Drosophila melanogaster: one gene and its partner. The gene in region 2 interacts genetically with the main gene of each other region. Each region holds a gene or a part of one and is shown on either strand. Other genes may lie near its edges. The genes, in order: cpb and Pkn.

Region 1 (4,386 bases), on a different chromosome or scaffold from region 2:
AACTTGAGTTACACATGAACTATTCGATTTACTTTGTTCTGAACTGAAAAGTTTTCGAATTACCCAAACGAAATTTTAACCACTTGAATTCAAAAAAGACGACAACGGTCCACTTGCGAGGGAATTTCGGAATGAGAAGTACTTTACGTGCATAAGGTTAAACGAAAAACAAAAAAAAAAATAGTTTTAAAAAAACGCAAATCCGTTTGGAGCAAACTCAGGGCATTATCAAGACTCACGACGATGTATACATGCATTTAATACAAACAAAAAAAAAAAATAAATAATGAGAAGAAAAACAGAAACTTTTTCGATATGTATTACGATAAAAAAAAAAAAAATTATGAAAGCAACCGCAAAACGGATGTAATAATCATGCGAAACGATTATGAACAACTCAGGTATTAAATATTAAATGAAATATTTTTAAAAACTTATAACGAATCGAGCGGGCAGTCGGTCAGAAGTCAGAATCAGCATTTTCACAAGTTGTGCAATATTCTTAAAGTTTTCTAAATACGTAATAGTATTAATAATCTAATATGCGATCATGGCAAGGATCAGTGAGTTGAGATGTTCATAAGCATGGGATCCGAAAGGTTGAAGATCGAGGATCGATGATTGAAGATTGAGGATTGAGAGAAGGTTAGGTGAGTTTTTGAAGCACATGAGGACTAGGCGTGTAGTAAACCAGCCCTAAGAATTTTTAGTTTTACCACCCACACAAGTCAAGAAGAACAAGCCACAACAAACACACTCACAGAAACACACACACACACATACTCGACGCGAAATGCGAAAATAGTGAAATAAATAGCTAAATGAAAATGAGTTTATATAAAGAAGGAAAACATAAAACTGTGATTACATTTGATTGTCGAAGAAGCGTTGATAAGCAAGTGTTGCATAATTATTGAGCGAAAGAAAAACGATGAAACGAGAAATACGATTGAAAATGGAGTTATGTACTATTATTGAATCTGAAACCGCTTTTGATTTCGAATATTGGCACAGTGTCTAGCATGCGACAGAGCATAAGTAAATAAATCAATATTAATTAGCCGAAATATTAAACTTCAAAAGAACGACTAAGAAATACAAATTATAATTATCTAAGTTATTCGAGATTAGTGAAACCTGCCCTAATTTTACAAGTCACCTGTAACAGTTTTTATCCTGGCTAAAAATCCAGAGCTGCGAAAAAAAATCCCTCGATTTAGTTCACATTTCTCTGAACGATTTCTGTATGTAGTGCACCTTAGTTAAAAATTAAAGTCTGAGATTTTACATTTATCGTATATGGTCGAAGTATACACCTAAAGAGCGCACTTGAAGCGCGAGTCTAAGCCCAAAGCGGTTAATTAAGTTTATTGAACCTACTACTACTAACGAGGCAAAATCCCACACGCTACGTATTTGGCTAAAATTAATGTAAAAATCAAGAAATCCAAGGATCGATTCAGAAGGATACGTTTTCGGAGCACGCATATGATTTCTAAATAAGTATGTATGTATGTCTGAAGAGTGCGAAAGCGAAGCAGCTTAAATATATTTTAAACACGAACTCGGATAAAAATTTACGATTATGCCATACATTTTTGTGTAACATATTAAAAACTACGAGTAAGCTAAACCCACAGTCACACACAAACCAAACGCATTGTAACAGAAACTCACAAAACACGGAGAGGAAATGGGCAACCAGAATGGAATTAAGCATAAAAGTATATGAACGAAAACTAAATTCAATAAACTTGTTGCTAAAATATAATAAAAGTAAGACCATGGTTTTATTTCGGGCGGATTGAGTGCCAGAGTTTATTTTTATAAAGTGTACTGCAAATTATTGCCTTTTGTAAGTAAGTAACTGCCATTCGTTATGTTAATTTTCAAATATTTCCGCTAGATAGTTAGCGGGTAAGAAATCGATATACCAAATCGAGCGAGCAATCGATGCTCCACCAAAATGAACGATATCGCATAATAATCGGGCTGTGTTCCAGCTCTAGCACACCATAGCAAAAATAAAAAATCCTAATAATAAGGAAAAAGAGTCAATTTAGTGCAATCACTTGCAATATAAGCCCGAAATCCTAGCTAGAGTTTAAGATCGGCCCTGCTCAGCGAACGCAGGCCCCTAACATAAACAGTGTAAAACTATCGAAACAAGGGAAAGCAGAAAGTACCAAAATGGTGAGTAATACTACAATAGTAACAAGAAAAAAAAGCAGGCCAACAAACGGTGTTTTTGGTCGGAACCGCCCATTCTGCAAGCCAAATATTCTTGGCAATCACCTAATCCACCGAGAAAACCTCCAGAGGGGCGGCGGCCTGTGGCCTCAAATAATGCCCATATATGGTAATCCCTGGTTTGCCGGGTGGCAGTGGAAAGCGGAGGGATTTTTTGGGCTCTCTTATCGGCGGTGGTGCAGTGACTCAAATTCAATTTCACTGGTGTCTCTTCTCCTCTCTTCTCAGTCGGAAATGCAGATGGACTGTGCTTTGGATCTGATGCGGAGGCTGCCGCCCCAGCAGATCGAGAAGAACCTTATTGATCTGATAGACTTGGCACCGGATCTCTGCGAGGACTTGCTCTCCTCCGTGGACCAGCCGCTGAAGATCGCCAAGGACAAGGAGCACGGCAAGGACTATCTGCTGTGCGACTATAACCGGGATGGGGACTCCTACAGATCGCCCTGGTCGAACTCCTACTATCCGCCGCTGGAGGATGGCCAAATGCCCTCGGAACGACTGCGCAAACTGGAAATCGAGGCGAACTATGCCTTCGATCAGTACAGGGAGATGTACTACGAGGGAGGCGTCTCCTCCGTCTACCTATGGGATCTGGATCACGGGTTTGCCGCCGTTATACTGATCAAAAAGGCGGGAGATGGCAGCAAGATGATCCGCGGCTGCTGGGACTCCATCCATGTGGTCGAGGTACAGGAGAAGACCACCGGCAGGACGGCCCACTACAAGCTCACCTCCACGGCAATGCTCTGGCTGCAGACCAACAAACAGGGTTCGGGAACCATGAATCTGGGCGGATCCCTCACCCGGCAGCAGGAGCAGGACGCCAACGTCAGCGAGTCGTCGCCGCACATCGCCAACATTGGCAAGATGGTCGAGGAGATGGAGAACAAGATCAGGAACACCCTGAACGAGATCTACTTTGGCAAGACCAAGGACATCGTGAACGGACTAAGGAGCACACAATCACTGGCCGATCAGCGCCAGCAGGCGGCCATGAAGCAGGACCTCGCAGCGGCAATCCTGCGACGCAATGTCAAGCCCGAATCGAACTGAGTACTGAGCGGCTGAAGGCTGAATTTCCACATAAACCAATCCAGTCCAGGGGCGTCCCACAAGCTGGCTGCTCCCAAGAAGAGCGCAGCAATATTCGAATTGCAAGGCACTGTTGTCACCACTAAATATTGTCATAAATATAAATAATTTTCATAATATTTCGGCTGCACCCACCCAATTCGCTGTTACTCGCCCAATTGTGTTGAGCAGCTCCGTGGAGGACTCCGCTTGGACTGGACTAAAGAGCTGACTAAAAAATATTAAATACGCATTTCTAGGCAGTAAATTTGTTACATGAGAAAATTGTTACACCACGAGAAGCACATTAATGTAAATTTTGCCCGCCCGTTTCAACTGTCCTCCCACATTGTTGCCGTTTGGAGTCGCGCTTCATCCAGAGTTCAGCCGAAAATGCCAACTTCGCCGCCCTCAAGACAGTATCCATAAGTATTTGTATCTTATTTGTAATAATGCATATTTGCACCGAAGTCGAGGCACTTGCGTTTCGTTCTTAATCCTTCCGCGAATAAATATTGTGTTTATTAATTGTAACTTTGTGTTTGTGTGTAATCTAACAGTAAGGCGCTCGAAGCAAAATATTAACTGAAATCGCTTTGTGATTGTATTATCTGAGGAAATGCACATTACCTTTCTTCTTTACTTAATATTTTTTAACTGAAATTTGGAAGGCAAGAGAAATTTTATACAAAGAAACTAATAAATATTGAATTACAACTAGAAGTGGTTTCATTGGGGGAAAACATCATATTATCGCAAAAGATAAGATATATAAAATAAACTACTACACATCACTCCATCGATGTATACCATATTCTACTTTTAGTCACGACATATCATATCATAAGCTAGTTAGATAAGGACTAAAGAAAAACATGGCGAGTTTGGTTCATGGCTACCTTTAAGATACGTTTGCATTTATTTATGAAAATCGGAGACCGTTTGATTAAAAATATGTAATTAAATACCTTGAGGTGTGTGACGCAAACGATTGTGTGCTTACTTAGACAATTACTTTTAATCTTTGCATAGTCGCGTTTTATCATAGTTATTACAGAATAT
Region 2 (5,302 bases):
CGCAAAAACTCAATCTTGGCCTTCGAGTCGGCCAGCATCTGGTGGGCTTCCGCCAGCAGCTTCTTGTCGCATCCGATGCCCAGCGACTGGATCATGTTTTCCGCCCCGGTCTTCACCTTCATCTCGATCTGCAGCTGCTTCTCCAGCGAGGCGAGCACTTTGTCATTGGCAGTGGCCGGTGCGCCGCCCTCCAGAGCCGTGTTTCCGCCGCCCAAGCCACCAACTGCACCGCTGACCAAGAAGCCGCCATTGGGATCAATGCAGGCAGTGATCGATTCTGAAAGATATCGGAAAGATTAGATTCTATTTTATTCTGAATTTCGTAAGAAGTATTGAATGATAGAAACCTTTCATAGATTTAGATACACAGAGTACAGCACAATAAGTATTCTATCAATACCAGTTTAGGATAAGGACTTTTAAACCCACCGTAAAGAAAGAATTTCGCTTGTCAAGTTAGAAACAGCTGTTGTATTATTATTTTAATAATAAATAAACGGTAACCAAAAAATCAATCAATCAGCAGTGGTGTTCCAAATTTTCTCAGCAAAAATGTCCAAAACTTGTTTATGCCCTTTTTCTCCCATTGTTTATTTTTGAAAGGCCATTTGTTTGGCACAAACTAAAAATGTGTGTGTTTGGTTCTATATGCGCCAGCTATTTATTCAAAGAGAATCGGCATTTGTGCAGCATTCTTCGACAGCTGCCAAACATGTCAATCGTCTGACATATGAAAAGTCGACTCTGGCGCCACACAATGCCACATTGGAGGGGTTCTTGTGGGGCAAATGCTTCTGTTGGGGGATTGGCCAAACACGGAAGCAGATATATAGAATGCCAGAACGCTGTCTCCATTCGGAAATGTAAACAAACCAAACGTATCACACTTACGGCAGTTGTGTCAATAGGTTGGCTCACAAAAACCGAAGAAAACGAAGAAAACATTTCGTCCGTCGCCGAGACTATCACAAAGTGTTTTGTTAAAGATACGAGGGCATATATAAAGCGATAATCAGATCATTAACACCCAGCACAATGTTCACTTGTCACCACCATGAAGCATTAGGTGATGGGCCAAAAAAAAATGTGGTAAAGGTAAAAGAAAATGCGTGACAAAGACTCGTAAAAGACGGACTTAACCATTCCCAAAGCCCCGAACAATTGCAGCATTCGTGAGGTTTTGATGTCACTCTCTTTCGGAAGTAAGTACTTTCATTTTTGTTCGGCTTTTTATTTTGGTCAAAAAAAATTTCAATGGTTTCATAATTGAAACTATTATTAATTATAGCTTTTAGCTACTAAATTACAGCTTTATTATAAAGCAATTTTAAACTGTCCCTGCTCTAAATATCACTTAATTTTAGGAAACTACTTCATACTTTTAGTCCATTGGAAACAAGTAATACAAAGTTTTGAATACACATCTTTACAAAATCTTTGTTTATAATAAACAGTTTTATACAGAATTTACTCATTCCTTTATTTAAATTGCTTGCCCGGAAACCACGTGACCTAGAAATCCGAACTAGCCCAGGATATACCAAACATTTTGGTTGATTGAATTACACTTTACAACCAGGTTGAAATTGAATTAACCAACAACCTTATCTTTATCTTCTACACAAAAAGGAACATCTTTCAACTTCATTGCAGTGTCCAAACTTTTTCTTGAAGCTTGTTTTGGTTATAGCTTCGTTAGTGACCCCGCCCCTTGGCCACGCCCTCGTTTTTATTGGGAATACACTTGACTCGTTACACTTGCCCACAAAACTTGTTGCATGAAACTTTTGCTCTCGTATAATTGCAACAGTTTATGTCTGGCTTTTAGTGGGTTTTCGAAACGAAAAGCGAGACGACGGTAGAAAAAGTTACCCAATCTCTATGGGAATTGATGGATGCTCACCTTGTCCATTACTATTGACGGCGGTGTTGGCCGATGTCAGGAGGATTTGACTCTCGAGCTCCTGCAACTCGGACTTCAGCTCGGCAAGTTTACTTTTGCTCTTCTTGACAAGAACGGCCACATCGCTGAGGGATCGTCGATCTTTAGCCACCTCGCGGAGCTTCTCGGCGCCCTCTTTGATCTTCAGCTCCTTGCGGATCTCTCGCCGAATGGCCTCCTTGATCTCCTCCAGCCGTATGGACATACAGCTCTCCGGCAGATTCTCTGTGAAACCATATTTGTGACTGAGCTCGTACAGAACGGGATGCTTGATGTATTCGCCCTGTGGGTGAGAAAAAATGGGAATAAGAAAAAGGTTATACACATATTCGTAATTAAATTCGATTCAAGTTTTTGAAACACAAACAATAAAAAACGTATACTGCGGCACCTCTTGGAGAAGTGTGACATCTTTATAGACTGCAGTCAATTTAATTAAAAGCCAAAAACTGCAGTTGAATCAAACAAAGTTCATAGTGAAATACTATGCAGTATTTGAAGTGCATGATTGGCACAAAGAATTTAAAACCCAAGGAGATGAACATACTTAGAGAACTGTATCCGAAATATGAAAATATAATGGTTCTATAGTAAAAAAAAAAAAAGTTGTAACCTCCAGCCGACATCGTCTTAAAATCTTATAAAATGTTATCCAGTTTTGTTCGACTAACTCACTTCTGCAGATATCTCATAGTTTGAACCGTTCACCGAATCGGTGTAAAATACGGCACCACCACTGTCGCCTTCGTTGTCAAAGTCATATGAATCTTCCGGTCCGAAGACATTGGTGACCAGTCGATTCCACAGACCACTGTTTGATCGCCGGGCGGTCGAGTGTCTATTGCTCCTTCGGGGCAGCGAGTGGCACTTCCTGCGAGCAATGAAGCCCTCTGAAGCGGATACCGAGGTGGTATCTTCGCGATCCCGCTGGCTGCTTGGATTGATCATGCTGCGGATTCTCTTCACCAGTTTGGACATTATTCACTCGGGTTTCTCGTTAATTCGCCGTGTTTATTACCTCACTTTGGTCATTTTACAGCCGTTTTGTGTGCGCTGACAAGTTCACGGTAATTAGCTGGAACAGGCTGACCCACAAAACAAATACACACGCTTTTATTCACACGACTCCGACTGCCGCTTATCTGGAAAATGTTTTTTGCCTCCCCCTCCGGGTTCTTCTGCCTTCTTGTGCTTCTTTTTCTTGTAGTTCAACAAGTTTCTTTGGCTTTCTCATTAAGCGGTTCTCGATTGCTTCTGTCTGATAGCCACTCGAGTCTTTGCCGGGAAAAGTCGACAAAGGTGTCACTTGAAACAAGCGAACAAGCCGACAGTAACTGCTATGCAAATTGGAATTCTAATCGATCGATCGTTTTCAATTGAATGTCATCGTCTTTGCTACACTTTCTCGGTGAATTTAGATATCAGAATGAAGTTAAACTGTTTGATAGGCGAAAGTCTGCTTGAATGGAAAGCCAGTTGGCAACCAAAATCAAAAGGAATTCAATTAAACGCGTTGATTTAATGCACGTGCCTTTATATTTTATTCTTTTAACTTGTGAGTTCGCGTTCTTTCTTATTCGTCTTCAGTTGCTCAACTAAACACTATTTCCTAAGAACAAAGCAGAAAAGTTCTGCTACAAAAATTACTCAATTTATCCAACCATTCAGACAATATCTTAAATGAAATTCAAAAATTCTATTCTCCTACAAACTCATTCATGAAGTTCAAGTTCATTCTTATCTGTCAGATACATATGAACCCATTTTTATGTTCTTAAAAACAACAAATTAAAGCAATTGAATTTTCCCGCATTCACAAATTGGGTATTTAAGGGCAAACCGCCTGAACATATTTACACAATGAGCCATAGGCAACAAAAGTTACCCAGTTGTGCTATCGATTGAATATGTTTATTTTCAATTCCTGTTGAAATCTACGTTCTGCAAAACATGTGCATATATGTATGCCCAAACAAAGTGGCAAGTGCAGAGAGGTACAGAGTAAACACTATTCAATAAACAATTGTTTATGGAAAACTCATTATAAATATTTTTGAATTCGTACCACCTAACGAATGGTGAGCTTGGTGGGATTTTTATTAAGAAACGTCGCCAAAGGGATAGAAGTAATATTATTTTATTTTTTGAGATTGTCAGATTTCCGTTTTTCACAATGAATCATTGTATATGTATTGGATTTCTTCACTGTAGGGCTAGCTAATGCGACCCTCAAACTTGCTAGTTATTTCTCAAGAGGTTCTTGCACCATTAAAATGGCCCTGAATTGGCAGAAACCTAATAAAGGAGTGCGTAACGTTTTCTTATCACAGAAACTACTGATAACTTTGGCAGAAAACTTTGAATTCCAGGCCCGATTGTTTACACTAATACATTTTGATTCACTCTTTACCCCACACCACACAGTTAATTTTTTTATTAGTTCTTTCGCAGTTCATAAGGGCAGAATCATCTGCCATTTGGATGACTGGCACTTCACAGATAGTTATGTTAATATTTGTAGCACTTGTTCAGATTAATAACCAGTAATTAGGTGACACCTCTGAGTCACCGTTATCAAGCTCCGGTGGGAAATCGGAATTAACTACGCCCGTCTATAGTCGAACAGTTACTGAGAACATCCAGCTACCCGAGCGGCTAGGTGTGCACCAGTGTTTGTGTGTGTGTGGGCGTGTACTTGTGTGTGTGGCTTTGTTAGGGAGAAAAATCGAAAAACGAATCGTGGCGAACGGCAATCGTTTAGCAGCAACAGGTTCGTTTGCCGTCGATAAGCTCAAACCACGCAACTCAATTCGGTGCGAACGCAACCGTCTTGGCCAGTGCCGAAACATCGATCTCCTTCCAAAGGAAGATGGTGGTGCACGCACTCAAGTATCTTTTATGGGGGTAATGCGATTTTAAGTAGACACTGCTAATTGCCAATTAGCCTAACATCAAATTCGATAGGAAGCGGCATGCTGCATCAAACAGGCAAGTTGCTAGTGCCAAATGTCAATCCACACTTAATTCCAGCTAAACGCCCACCTACCCAGTTTATTTGGACAGATAAAGTATTAAGCAAGATCGTAAAAACATCGAAAAAAATATATGGTGGCTTCCCAGGACATCATAAGTGCTAAAAGATATATTGATACATCTGATTACCAGAGGCTTAACAAACTAATTTGTATTTTTATAAAATGTATACATCATTTTAAGTGCATTATATATATGAATATAGGACTAAAATAATGTTGTTTAACTATAAAAACATTAATATAAACAATTTTTTTGACAGGTATATTTAAATTGCAATGAATGATATTGTGATAATAAAAAAGAATTTTCCCCTAAATTCAGCTA

What was found.
Region 1: of Pkn (region 2) and cpb, changing one suppresses a phenotype caused by changing the other (phenotypic suppression), as found in Drosophila melanogaster (one study listed by BioGRID).

What each region holds. Positions count from the first base shown.
Region 1 is NT_033779.5:1,702,922-1,707,307, forward strand, and holds cpb (capping protein beta), read left to right. Parts: upstream 1-1,980; 5' UTR 1,981-2,190; coding exon 2,191-2,193; intron 2,194-2,209; exon of another isoform or gene 2,210-2,356; coding exon of another isoform or gene 2,357-2,359; intron 2,360-2,478; coding exon 2,479-3,306; 3' UTR 3,307-3,856; downstream 3,857-4,386. UniProt on the Drosophila melanogaster protein: F-actin-capping proteins bind in a Ca(2+)-independent manner to the fast growing ends of actin filaments (barbed end) thereby blocking the exchange of subunits at these ends.
Region 2 is NT_033778.4:9,265,752-9,271,053, forward strand, and holds the start of Pkn (protein kinase N), read right to left. Parts: upstream 3,213-5,302; 5' UTR 2,921-3,212; coding exon 2,618-2,920; intron 2,226-2,617; coding exon 1,904-2,225; intron 278-1,903; coding exon 1-277. UniProt on the Drosophila melanogaster protein: Pkc-related serine/threonine-protein kinase and Rho/Rac effector protein that participates in specific signal transduction responses in the cell.